Danio rerio: one gene and its partners. The protein of the gene in region 2 interacts with the protein of the main gene of each other region in a biochemical or structural test. Links are inferred from orthologs where the notes say so. Each region holds a gene or a part of one and is shown on either strand. Other genes may lie near its edges.

What was found.
Region 1: the proteins of nup153 (region 2) and senp2 form a complex in vitro, tested with the Homo sapiens proteins (2 studies listed by BioGRID). The link is inferred for Danio rerio from reciprocal best matches to the Homo sapiens genes NUP153 and SENP2.
Region 3: the proteins of nup153 (region 2) and kpnb1 form a complex in vitro, tested with the Homo sapiens proteins (4 studies listed by BioGRID and IntAct, with this or other methods). The link is inferred for Danio rerio from reciprocal best matches to the Homo sapiens genes NUP153 and KPNB1.

What each region holds. Positions count from the first base shown.
Region 1 is NC_133181.1:12,366,967-12,370,618, reverse strand, and holds part of senp2 (sentrin-specific protease 2), read right to left. Parts: coding exon 3,516-3,652; intron 3,435-3,515; coding exon 3,328-3,434; intron 3,245-3,327; coding exon 3,156-3,244; intron 3,042-3,155; coding exon 2,984-3,041; intron 2,898-2,983; coding exon 2,819-2,897; intron 1,803-2,818; coding exon 1,653-1,802; intron 639-1,652; coding exon 507-638; intron 1-506. UniProt on the Homo sapiens protein: Protease that catalyzes two essential functions in the SUMO pathway.
Region 2 is NC_133194.1:48,945,401-48,949,541, reverse strand, and holds the start of nup153 (nuclear pore complex protein Nup153), read left to right. Parts: upstream 1-1,191; 5' UTR 1,192-1,268; coding exon 1,269-1,346; intron 1,347-4,141. UniProt on the Homo sapiens protein: Component of the nuclear pore complex (NPC), a complex required for the trafficking across the nuclear envelope. Functions as a scaffolding element in the nuclear phase of the NPC essential for normal nucleocytoplasmic transport of proteins and mRNAs.
Region 3 is NC_133194.1:51,598,164-51,602,572, reverse strand, and holds the start of kpnb1 (importin subunit beta-1), read right to left. Parts: upstream 2,856-4,409; 5' UTR 2,704-2,855; coding exon 2,664-2,703; intron 2,036-2,663; coding exon 1,977-2,035; intron 1,761-1,976; coding exon 1,578-1,760; intron 1-1,577. Other genes in the region: si:ch1073-205c8.3 (NEDD8-conjugating enzyme Ubc12), read right to left, coding at 4,227-4,367.

The DNA of each region.
Region 1 (3,652 bases), on a different chromosome or scaffold from region 2:
TGATTTTCAACTAATTAAACTGTATTGTCTTAATAGGTGGATTGAGAGGTTTTTGCAAAAAAAAGCACAAGTGAATTTAGCCGGTTGATATGATGACAGTACATAATATTTTACTAGACATTTCTCAAGATTAGTATTCACCTTAAAGTGACATTAAAAGGCTTAACTAGGTTAGATTTAGGCAAGTCAGGTTAATTATGCAAATCATTGTATTAGGATGGTTTGTTCTGTAACAATCAAAAATTAATAATGCTTAAGGAGGCTAATAATGCTGACCTTAATTGTTTTTTTGGTTTTTTTTATTAAAAACTGCTTTTATTCTAGCTGAAAAAAAAAGACTTTCTCTAGAAAAAAAAGATCTTAAAGGAAATACTGTGAAAAATTTCTTGCTCTGTTAAACATCATTTGGGAAATAATTAATAATGAAATGAAATTTTAACTTTATGCAGTAAATAACTGTACTGACATTTTGTGTTGTTCGAATAAAACCCTTAAAATGACATTACCTCATCATTGAGCCAGCTGCCCTCTTGTAGTGTTGCCAGATCTCTCTGTGTGATACGCAGTTTGAAAGCACTGCACAAAACCAGGTTTGGATCACTCTGAGCAAGAGCAGCACTCACTTCCTGCTGCATCTCCTGTTACAGGACACAAAGAGAACACTGTGACTCAAACCACAAGGAAAACAACCAAGCTGACAACTAATGCATGAGTGAAAACAAATACACTGTATTACAACAACAATAACAACAAAAAAGGTTTACATTACAATATTTCTCTTGTTAAGGAGTTCGCTTTAGTGATATCAACGTTTAATTAAATCATTAGTTTATCAAGAGTATTTTCATAGAAAAAATTATTTGTAAAATTCTTCGAAATTAAGGGCGCACTCACACTAGGTTAACCGAAACATTCCCGGGCACGTTTCCCGGTTTGATTGAAAAGTTTGAGTGCTCTGAATCGGGCCCAGGTGCAGTTCAGTTGGCTGGCTGTGGCCTGGTTAAAGGAGGTGTGCCAGAGCGTGGTTCAGTTGTGCTCAGGCACGGTAGGCTTGTAGTGTGAGCGTAAAACTGAAGACACAACTTCACTTTTCATATGGATTTATTAATCATTCTTACTTTTCAATGAACGCAAACTGTCCTAGTTTCTCAAAGATGCAAACCCCTCTTGCTGCACCTTCAGGAAACCTCTTAATACATGATGCACGAGGAAATTTATGCTAATTTATGAGCGTCAAAAGTGGTGAATCTGTTCTGCATTATATAACTAAAGCAATGTCCACTGTGCTGAGCGAGAGCGCTTTCATTCCTGTTAAACTGAACAGTCGTATCATCGATGTTGTAAGCGTGCTCCGGCTTGAAATGTAATGCAGTGTGAGTGCAGGCAGTCATGACTTTTGACAGTAAAAGTCATGACTTTTCAGTGTCAATGCAACTGCTTATATCTGTAATAAGTGGATGTGATTAAAAAAAAAAATTTAAAATGAGCACAAAACAGCCCAATTTGAATTTTTAGCAATTAAAGTTTAGAGCAACAGGTTTGAAATATTTTCCAGTAATAAAAAAATGTTTTCATGCAAGTATCTTGAAAATAAAAGTAGAATTAACCCACTAAAACATCAATCTGAGAGAGACTGAGGTGACCGTAACAACCTTGGTCAGTCTGGGAAACTCCTCTTCACCACGCCTCACTGCATCTGTAATCACTTCAGATCTGGAAGGTATCAGAAGTCCAACAGCAGAATCCTTGTCCTTCAGATTTAACCTGGCTTCAACCTCAGCTGACAGATCAACATCTACAGCCTGAAGAGAAGGTGAGAAAGAAGGTGTTAGAGGGAGAAAAAGACACTACAAGGAGCCATTATTGCATTATGTTGCTTTAAAATGTGGTCAAAATACAGCTACACTAGGCCTGTCACGATACCTATTTTTTGTCGAATGATACATTGCACCAAAATATATCGCGATAAACAATATTAATGTAATTTTAAGACATTTTTGCAGCTCGTTATACAATGCCAAAATGACAATATAATAGCATCATTACGCAAGAATACTCTCCCAAAGAATACATCATATTTTATTCCTAAAAATATTTTAATTAGTCATTTTAACAATTTAATAATTAGGCATTGGAATCAGAATGTAAAAACGCATAATCCTAAATAATCAATAATAAAAAGTGCAAGGTAAAAAGTACCAGATGCTGCGATCAATTGTCAGACACCCACATGAAAATGAACTAAAGTCATTTACAGTAAATACTATACTGTTTTTTTTAACCACACTGACACCTCCAATAGATATAGAGATCATGTCCATGTGTTGTGCGATAACTTGATGTATTGATTATTGTGACAGGCCTAAGATACACAGAAAACAATAAATAATTTAAAAAAGAAAATTACGTTATTATTAGTCTGCAAAATAATAATTTCAGTCAGTGTAAAGCAGAAGATGCTGAGACTTCATTTCAGTATGTACTTCCAACTGTAACAAAATATTGAGTAGGGGGTGGGGCTTTCATTTTGCACATCACTCCCTCATAGCAAACTAATGGTAAAAGGGGTGTGGTTAAGGATATTAATATACAGTTGCTATGGAAACCCTCCTACTGACCTCAACAGAAGGATCACCACTCCAAAGGTAAGAGCAAATGGTCAAACTTTGATTGATTTAATAAAACTAACTTTTTTTCAGTAGATTAACTTGCACAGATTAATTGTTCACTTTAAGAGTAACAAACGTGAGCTAGCAAAATAAACATTGTACATTTTGATTTCACATGACACTTTACAGCACATGAAGCAAGCACTTACGGTTTTTCGTGTAGTTTGATTATCCAAGGCTCCTTCCTTGACATCACTTCCTGTTGTGCTTCGATGACCATCCACTGTTCTGTCACAGTTGAAAAATAAACAGAAATGAATCTTTCTGCATTCAGCAAACGCATATAAGGATTATGTGGCATGTTGAAGTATTACCTGTCTTTAATCTGCGTCAGGGATAGTGGATCCCGCCACATAGAAATGTTAGGGATGACTTAAGGCAATTAGGCAAACAGAAAATGTAAGTATAATGGAACTCTTCATCAAACACTTATGAAAAAATGTGAAGTTCTAATAACAGTGAAGATTAATTTAAATAAACTCTCACCTCTTACTGGCGCAGGTCTGTTCAAGTCAGTAGTGCGACAGATGGAGGTGTGTCCACTGACCTTGTGTCCATCAATGGGGAAAGCGGTGCTAAAAGATTTGATTGAAAACAGTGTTAACTTGCACCAGCTAAGCTGTGGTGATTTAAAAACATATATAATTTATGTGCTTACATGGAAGGCTTTATCCGTCCAAACGGCAATGGTTTGCTCTTTGAATATTTTTCAGATGCCATCTCCACTAGCTTCCTATAATGCTCTCGATCACTCTCTCTCAATGCCTAATCAAAAGAAAGATGCTCAGGAAGCCATGTATTTAAAAAAAGGTACTAAGTTACAACATTACAACTCAGTTTGCTAACCTCCTCCACGGTCAGGCAAGGTTTGGGTGTGCGGCTTGGGAGCTCCATCTCAGCCTGTCTTGAATTTAGCCCATTGGTGGTGCATGACGGCACAAGCTTCAAGGATCTGCGCATCTCTCTGCTTCTGTCCTGATTTG
Region 2 (4,141 bases):
CACTGCGCCACCGCGTCACCCCAAGAAAATTCTGAATAAATAAAAAATTATTTATTTATTAAAATGATACAAAATGAAACCATTTATTAACAAACAAATTTGTATGTAATTAAATGAAGATTATATTTAAATAATCTAATAATAATAAATTATAATTAGAAAAAAAAAATCCTAAATCAAAATCAAATAAATTACACGTTAAATTGTTAATATGAAATTTATTTAAACAAACAATAAATACATGAATTACATTAAAATGATGAAAAAAATGTCAGAAGCAATTAAAAATTAATAATAAATGCATCACAAAAAAGCAGAATTAAATAAATAAAATTAGTATAATTACAAATGAGTATAAAAATCAATTAGAAATATAATTAATAAATCAATACAATGATTGCATAAAGTAAATTAAAATAATATTTGGTACATTATTTAAAACAATTAAAAAAAAAAAAAAAATATATATATATATATATATATATATATATATATATATATATATATATATATATATATATATATATATATATATTGTTTCAACTGCAAAGCGATGGGTAGTATAATCGCCTCACAACAAGAAGGTCGCTGGTTCGAGCCTTGACTGGGTCTGTAGGTGTTTCTGTGTGGGGTTGCATGTGTTGGCGTGGGTTTCCTCCGGGTGCTCCGGTTTCCCCCACAGTCCAAACACATGCGGTACAGGTGGATTGGGTAGGCTAAATTGTATGTTGGTGAATAAGTGTGTATGGGTGTTTCCCAGTGATGGGTTGCGGCTGGAAGGGCATCTGCTGCGTAATACATATGCTGCATGAGTTTGCAGTTCATTCCGCTGTGGCGACCCCTGATTAATAAAGGGAATAAGCCGAAAAGAAAATGAATGAATGATATCTAATATCTAATATTTATGTTTACACTACATAAGCTATGGGTGGTTATACAAGAACCATTCATGACTGCTAGATGTTTATTTCTGGCATGAAGATGAACATATTTGGAGAAACCACTGTTTTAAAAATGAAACAGAAAGTATCTTGACCTAATTTACTAAATACCTCAGTTTACTCACATCTACAAAAGCAAAATCCCCTACCACCCGAACGAAGTTCCTACAAACTGACGTCAATAGTGAACGCGCATGAAGTGTCCTCCTGAACTACATATCCCATGAAACCCAGCGCCGCGGTGGCTGACGGTATATTGGAGGGCCGCGCTGTGACAGCGGAGCTCTATCCGGCGAGCGCTACTGAGCAGACTCAATCTAGTTAACCATGGCGGCGACAGGAGGAGGGAAAATCAGATCCAGAAGACACCACATTGCGTCAAAACCCTACGCCAAAGGCAAACAGGTAAACAAAACCAACATGAAGCGCCAACAGCGGGGAATGTAACGGTTATTAACGGAACCCTAACCAGCGGTTTGGCGGCGGGTTTTGTTTTTGTGAAGCAGGAGACATTTTGAGGCCTGTTTTAGGCCTGTTCACGTTCTTCCAGCACACGCTTTCCACACCGCCAACTCATTTGACTGATAAAACAAAGCCACTCGGTGAGGAAAATACTCGAAAATATGGCGACTGAGAAGTGAAATTTGAATGTGTTTTCACTGAGGTGAAGACAACCGCGTGAACGCGTTTCATACCCAAACCGTTAGCCGTTAGCTGCGGCTAGCACCGGCGTCAGATATAATCACTTCAGTCCAAACAAACCATTAAAACTTGGTTTTCGTAGCGAACGATTTCCTATTTAAGTTCTTTATACTCTTACTTTGACTACATAACTCGCGTGTGTCGCTCAGAGTGACTCCACATGAGAGTAATGAGCTTCAGAGCACTTTTTGTGTGCGTGTTGTTATATTTGTAAGTTTTAAGCTTGGTTGATGATCGTTTTGGATGTGATTAGAGATTAATATAACGGTATGTTTTGGCGTACATTATGCTGCTTAACGCAGTGGGGTTTGACATCATGAAGAAAGGCGGGATGAGCGAGTGTGTGCGTGTCGTGGCGTGTTTTCATCTGCACATCACACACACACTGGAAATCCTGCACTCATGTTATTTCATAAAGAACGTAAAGGTGTTGTGATTAACACAGGTTCGTGTGTGTTTTCATTAACAACAATTTTAATTAGCCTTATAGTGATCCTGAATTCATCATAAACAGTTATTCTGATAATTCATAACCTAAACACTATGAATCATAGTTGAAAATCACTTTGCATTTTTCGTGATATTACTAGATTATCTGTTTTAGGCAAATTAAGTGGGTTAGAGAGGCACATAAGCTATTTGGCAGTCAAAAACGCATTTTCTTTTGTGTGAGGTTTAATTAGAAGTTAGAAATAGTCGATGCATAGTGTTATGTGTAGGATACTGTAAAAATGAGACTGTTGATGTATTGAAAAATCATGAAATAAACTGGTTCGTGTTCAGCATGGTCAAAGTGTGTATTCTGGTATATTTAGTAATTAACCCCACGTAGAAATGCAAGATGTGAAGGCAGTTTAAAAGTCAGGGCGGTACATACTCGTATTTTTGTTGACATTTGTGCATCATTGCGCCTTGTTTTTATTTTCTACTGTCAATAGATTAATTGCACAGTATATTCTTTTTTTTCCCAATGAATTTAAGCCCCTCATTAATAAGGTTTTAAAACTGCATGTTCCAAGCTTAATAAAAAAGCAAGCACTTTATTGAATCTAGCTTAGGGTACATTAATTATGTTTATGCTGATCTATTAAAACCACAAGAAATTTTGTATTCGCCATGATCGGCCTGTAGCTCTCTGTGACTTACTGAAGAAATGCTGTGTGCTCTAGTTAAGTATGCTCATGTTTATTAGTGTTGTTTTGACTGTTAAATACTTGCTCATGCGTAAATATGTTATACACATACGAATAACCTCTCTGCTTTCCCCAAATCACTTTTTATTCTTTACCTGGTTACCTGAAAACAAAGTTTTTTTCGTTTTTGTTTTCTCCCAAAAAAGCCACATTTTACTGGACTGTCCTGCTTTTAATGATTCCAGAAGACTTTTTTTATGAAATTAACTCTTTTAAGGACATTTTTAACAAGGTGAAACTAGAAAAGATTTTAGAATTTCTATCATGCATCAACACTAAAAATCCTATTTAATTTATGTATTCTTTTGTTTGTTGACTTTTAATTGTGTATATATATTGTTGAAAGGTTCCTGCTATGAAAATAGCCTTAGTTGCTGAAATGGCATTAGATAAATACATTACATTACATTCCCAAAAAAGCCATAGTTGTAACCTCTTTATAAAAAGTATGCTTTGTCAGGCTTATAAATGCTGGGGCACACCAGGTTTACGCCTTACAACTAGCGCCAATGAAAACCGTTTGTAAGATGATTTGTTTTATTACTTTGCTTCGCAATAATCTGTTTTGTTGTTCAATACATGAAAACCGAACTTCCGACATGCACATGCAAAGTAGAGGTGTAAACCTACACTGGCCTCACGGTTCGGTTACGATTATCATGCCATCGATTCTATTCATTTCGATATCTCGGTGCATCACTGTGCATTGTCTGCTTTTTATACTTTATATGTGGATGTTTTGCATTTTCTGATTTGTTACCCTAATGTACAAGTCGCTCAAACTTACTCATTAAGATGCGGGAACCGGCAGACGTGCAACAGCATTAATCATAAACACAAAACTACAGTTTCCATCCGGAGCGACTTCACAGACTCTCGACACTTGTAAACACTCACTCAAACAGGTTGGCGCGGATCTCTGTCTCACCCACACTGGTCACAGCTAACAAGCTGACCTATTACAAAGCTTGTACTATGCGTCGTTGTGAAAGTATAGTTATATTTCTTGAGAAGTGTGCGGCAGCCACTGCGAGTGCTATGCAACTGCAAAGGCTGCACTGGAGCATACAAGTGCGCTTGATGAAGAAATGTAAATCAGCCTTAATTGTCTGCTTGCTACATTACTTCAGTTTTTATTTTTGCACTCTGATTGGTTGCTGAATAACCAATCAGATGCTGACCTTGCCCTGTAATCTTCAACATAAACCCGACAATACACAACGTGGAACACACCAAACCAACTAGCGAGATTGACGGCTGATGCAACCCTTTTCACAAGCCTGTTATGAGATGTTTAACAGTCAT
Region 3 (4,409 bases), about 2.7 Mb from region 2:
AGCGCGCTCTATTGTGCAACTTCATTAATATTCATTACTGTCACCATGTTTACACGACAGAGACGCCACGTTGTGTTGGCAAAACAAGCGTGAAGTGTTGCTTTAATAGTTTGCTGCAGTGAAGTTTTGTTTTCATTTTCTCTCTGTGAGAGCGCAGCTGGACTCACGTGTGGATTAACAGTGTACGCGACGCTCGACAACAATAACTTACGTGTCTAAGGAGGATTATTGTTTACCTGAGAGCTGTTCTCATCTGCAAACGCTGAGATCCGGATTGTAGTCTCCTCTAAATAAAGACGCGGCTCTAGTTGCTGGTGATTGTCCTGTCTCTACAGGTTTGGTAAGTGAGCGACCAGCGCTCTTTGTTTATATCTAACAAACTATTGCACCGAGTGTAAACACGTTAGCACCACAACCAAACTTTACCCTCGTGTTGGATTTTGTGACCGCATTTAGTGACCGGAATAACACACGCGGCTTTCTGACACTACCTGCCGAGTGCATTTAAGTTTCCGGGAAATGCTGAGTTTTTTTTCTCTCATTCGCCGTGCGGGATCAAACATTACATGAAAAATACACGCTTAGAGCAGTTCCTCGAATCACATATCTCGTTTGTCGCGAGGGACATGAATGAATTCCCTGAATGAAAGAGCCAAACTGCAGTTAAAGTCCAGCATTTAATCATTTGGCAAATAATTCGACTACAGATGTGCATGTAGGTTAAACACCATCACTTTCTACTGTGTGTGTTTTGACTCTGAAACTCGCGCGTGCCCAAATAGACACTCCCACACCCTCCCACTTTAGTTCCTCCGACACTCCCCCCTAAACAGAGCTGGACACGCCCACTTTTCTGACTTTTTCCAGAGTAGAGGTGTGAAAACACCCTGCTGAAACGAGGGGGTCTCATGGCCCTTTAATAATGCAGGTGTTTCAGTCGGGCCTTAAACAGCACAGCTGAGCCCAGAGCTCAATTTACCCGCTCTACCACAGAGCTCCATTAAACCTCCACAGGCCTGTCTGCACAGCAGAAGAACAGCAGTGGCGGTGCACACACACACGCGCACACACACACACACACACACACACGATGCCTCCATCATGAACACGGCTGTCTGCAGGTGTAGTGTTCAGGTGCTGCGGTTTCCTGAATATTAAACTATAATCATCTGCAGTGATGTTCAGGAGAAACTGAGCGAAGTTTTTCACCACAGCTGATCATCACTGAACTCCTGCTGCTGTAAAGGCTGATCTCAGAACAGCAGAGTGACCGCCATGAGGACTTCAAGATGAATACTCAAGTTCCCCATGCTGACGCTCACATCAACATCACACACACACACACTCCAGCATGCTCCGTCAGTGATCAGGGGAAGCTGAGCGCTGCACTACTGTAAGTGAAAGTACTAAACTCCTGCAGATCCACATTCTACAGCTGGTCCAGCCCGTTTGAGCAAATACCGCCATCATTTAGGAGTGTGTGTCTGATCTCTGTGAACACACACTTTACCTTCCTGCATCCTGAAGATCTCTCTCTCTCTCTCTTACACACACACACACACACACAGCATCCTTACGTAGTTCTTGATCTCCCTGCGTGCGCTGGTGTCGATAGCCAGCCATCTCTGCTGGTACTGACTCTTCACTTCCGGGTCTTTAGAGGTCAAAGAGTTCTTGACCTGCAGGCCGGCGGCGACGCGAGCCACCTGTGTGTTCCCCGGGTTCGCCAACACCTTGGACAACTCCACCAGGAAGGTCGGCTGAGAAGCAGAACACAGAGTTACACACACACACACCTGTAGGAGAACCAGTGGTCTGCTGGAGCTGATCTCAGCACAGTACTGAGATCCACACACACAACAGAGTCCTGGTCCAGAAACAATTTACACACTATCAATTCAACACAGTAGTACAGTGTGTGTGTGTCTGTGAGACAGTTGATGTGTGTGTGTGTGTGTGTGTGTGTGCTTCATCACCAGGTTCTCGATGGCCGCCTGCTCCAGAAACTTCTGTGCCGCCTCCAGCTCATTCCGATCTGAAAATCAATCACAATCATCAGTCAATTCCCTGATCGATCGCTTGTGAAACTCTCCCGCCAAACGCGGAGCTGCGCGTCAGAACCGGGAAACTCCGCATCGCGCTCGGCCACAGCGCTTTACCGGGCTCCGAGCGGGAGGAGAGTCGGTGTAAACTAGACACGGCCGTACACGCGCGAACTTTCAGAGGCAGCGGCACAGGATGACTGAGTGCTAGCCATGCTAACACCTAGCCACTTCCTGACTAGCATGCTAACTGCTAACAACTTTACCAACAGAAGCGCGGGCGGGACAAACCCCACGGCGGCGCGACATGTGCGCGACCATGAAGTAGAGCCGTGTGTCGGTGTGTGAACTCTGATCATTAACACTCGTTACCGCGCAGAGACCGGACACACCGAGCAGGCCGGTAACCCGCTCCTGCTCTGGCGAGCCGAGGGTCCGGCTGCTGTTCGCCACTCGACGGGTGGAGATTAACGCGTCGCGTTCGCGGTTCAGCGACCGGGCCTGCGCTGCGTTAGCCGCCCGCTAACCGTCGCTCACACCCGGGGAAGCGGCTCAGCCCCGGTCATCACGCGGGAGAAACGGCATCCGTGCGCGGGAGAGGCGCGTGTGAGGATTGCTTACCTGGAGACACGGTCTTCTCGAGGATCGTGATCAGCTCCATCCTGTCGGGTCCGCGGGGGCAGAACGAGTGCAGTCGGTCGGTAAAGTCGGTCGGTCCACGCCTAATGCTGAAGCGCCGAGCCGTTCTCGCGGTTACCGCTTCTGCTCATCAGCCGCTGTCGCGAGGAAAAGGCCGCGCGGAACTCCCGCCCGCGGAACGATATCACGCGCTGACGTCACAGGTCCCGCCCACGCGCAGCATCATGACGCTCTGCTGCCTACTGAGGGAGCGTCTCGATAGTGTGGAGAACTGCGTTCATTACAAGAGCCCGTCAGACCGAGTGTGGGTCAGAAAGAGCAGATGATGAAGACACGGAGCGCACTGTTATCAGGGGTAGCGTGTGGTGTGATTCCCACGGCACACTGATTACTAGAGGAACAGCACCTTCAGGCGCAAAGTCATCATTACTCAGCACTTTGATGAAGTGAACTGCAGATGTGCACTATTATGACACACACTGAGGGCTCGTTATAGCTGTCCCAATCCCTCTGCAGAACACTACACACACAGGGAACAGGAAGCAGGTCTTCAGTGTACTTCAGCATAGTGTACTGCAGCCGTGATCATGAGCCCTTCAGCCTGAGGAACACTGATCACACACGAGCGGAGGAGAGTTCTAGAGCAGCTTCCTGTGCAGAAGCACACACACACACACACACACACACACACACACAACAGCGCTCCTGCTCAGTGTGCTCAGTTTATTATTGCTGTAGAAGAGGCAGTGTGTGAGATGGTGTGTGTGTGTCTGTGAGAAAGCGTGTGTGAGGTTGTGTTTGTGTGTGTGTATGAGACAGTTTGTGTGTGTGTGTGAGGCTGTAGTTGACACTCCTCCATCACTGTAGGCATTCAAGTCAATATTTTATTTAACATAATTCATATTGCAGTCATCGTGAACAACTGGGATTTAATATACACAACAGAATTGTAACATTACGCAACCCTCGCTAACCCGCCCCGTCCTGCAGACCCGCCCCCCCGCTCTCCAACAGCCAATCAGCACACATATCCCAGCGGCCGCCTGTGCACCGCCGGCGATCAATGCAGCGGCCATCAATTTATAAATGTGATCAGGAATTGGTCAAATGCAGCGCTAAACACAACCGATACTGAGAGAATCTGGCAGACAGAGACATGAGGACGACTGAACACGGCTGATGTGTGCGGCGCGGGGCAGCGGCCGTCTCAAGCCCAAACCAATCAGTCCTCAAGCTGGGTGATGGAATAGAGAAGTGTGTGTGAGTGTGTGTGTGTGTGTGTGTGTGTGTGTGTGTGTGTCTGCCCCGCGCACGCTCATGTTGAGTGGAGGATGAGTTAGCATGTGAATCTCAGCAAAAAATAAACAGTGGGTACCAGCATAGTGGCGAAATACGACTGAATTCTCTGAGCAACAACCACTGACCAGCCTGTGAACGCTCGCCACCGTCCCGCACACCCGAGAGCGGTCAGTGTGTCGGTCAGTACATCTCAGCGCATGTAAACGATAAATGCATTCTCGGACGTGAGGGCCGGCGGGCGCGGGACTATTTCAGGCAGCGCTCGAAGTAGGTGGCGCCCACGTATCCGCCCCGCAGCGACCGCTGGACGTTCTGCTCGAAGAGTCGCCGGTTCGTCTGCAGAACCTCTGCTGCCTCTTTATTCAGCGGGTCTTCAGGATTGGGCTCCTGCGGGAACAGAAGCACACACACACACTTCACCAATACAGC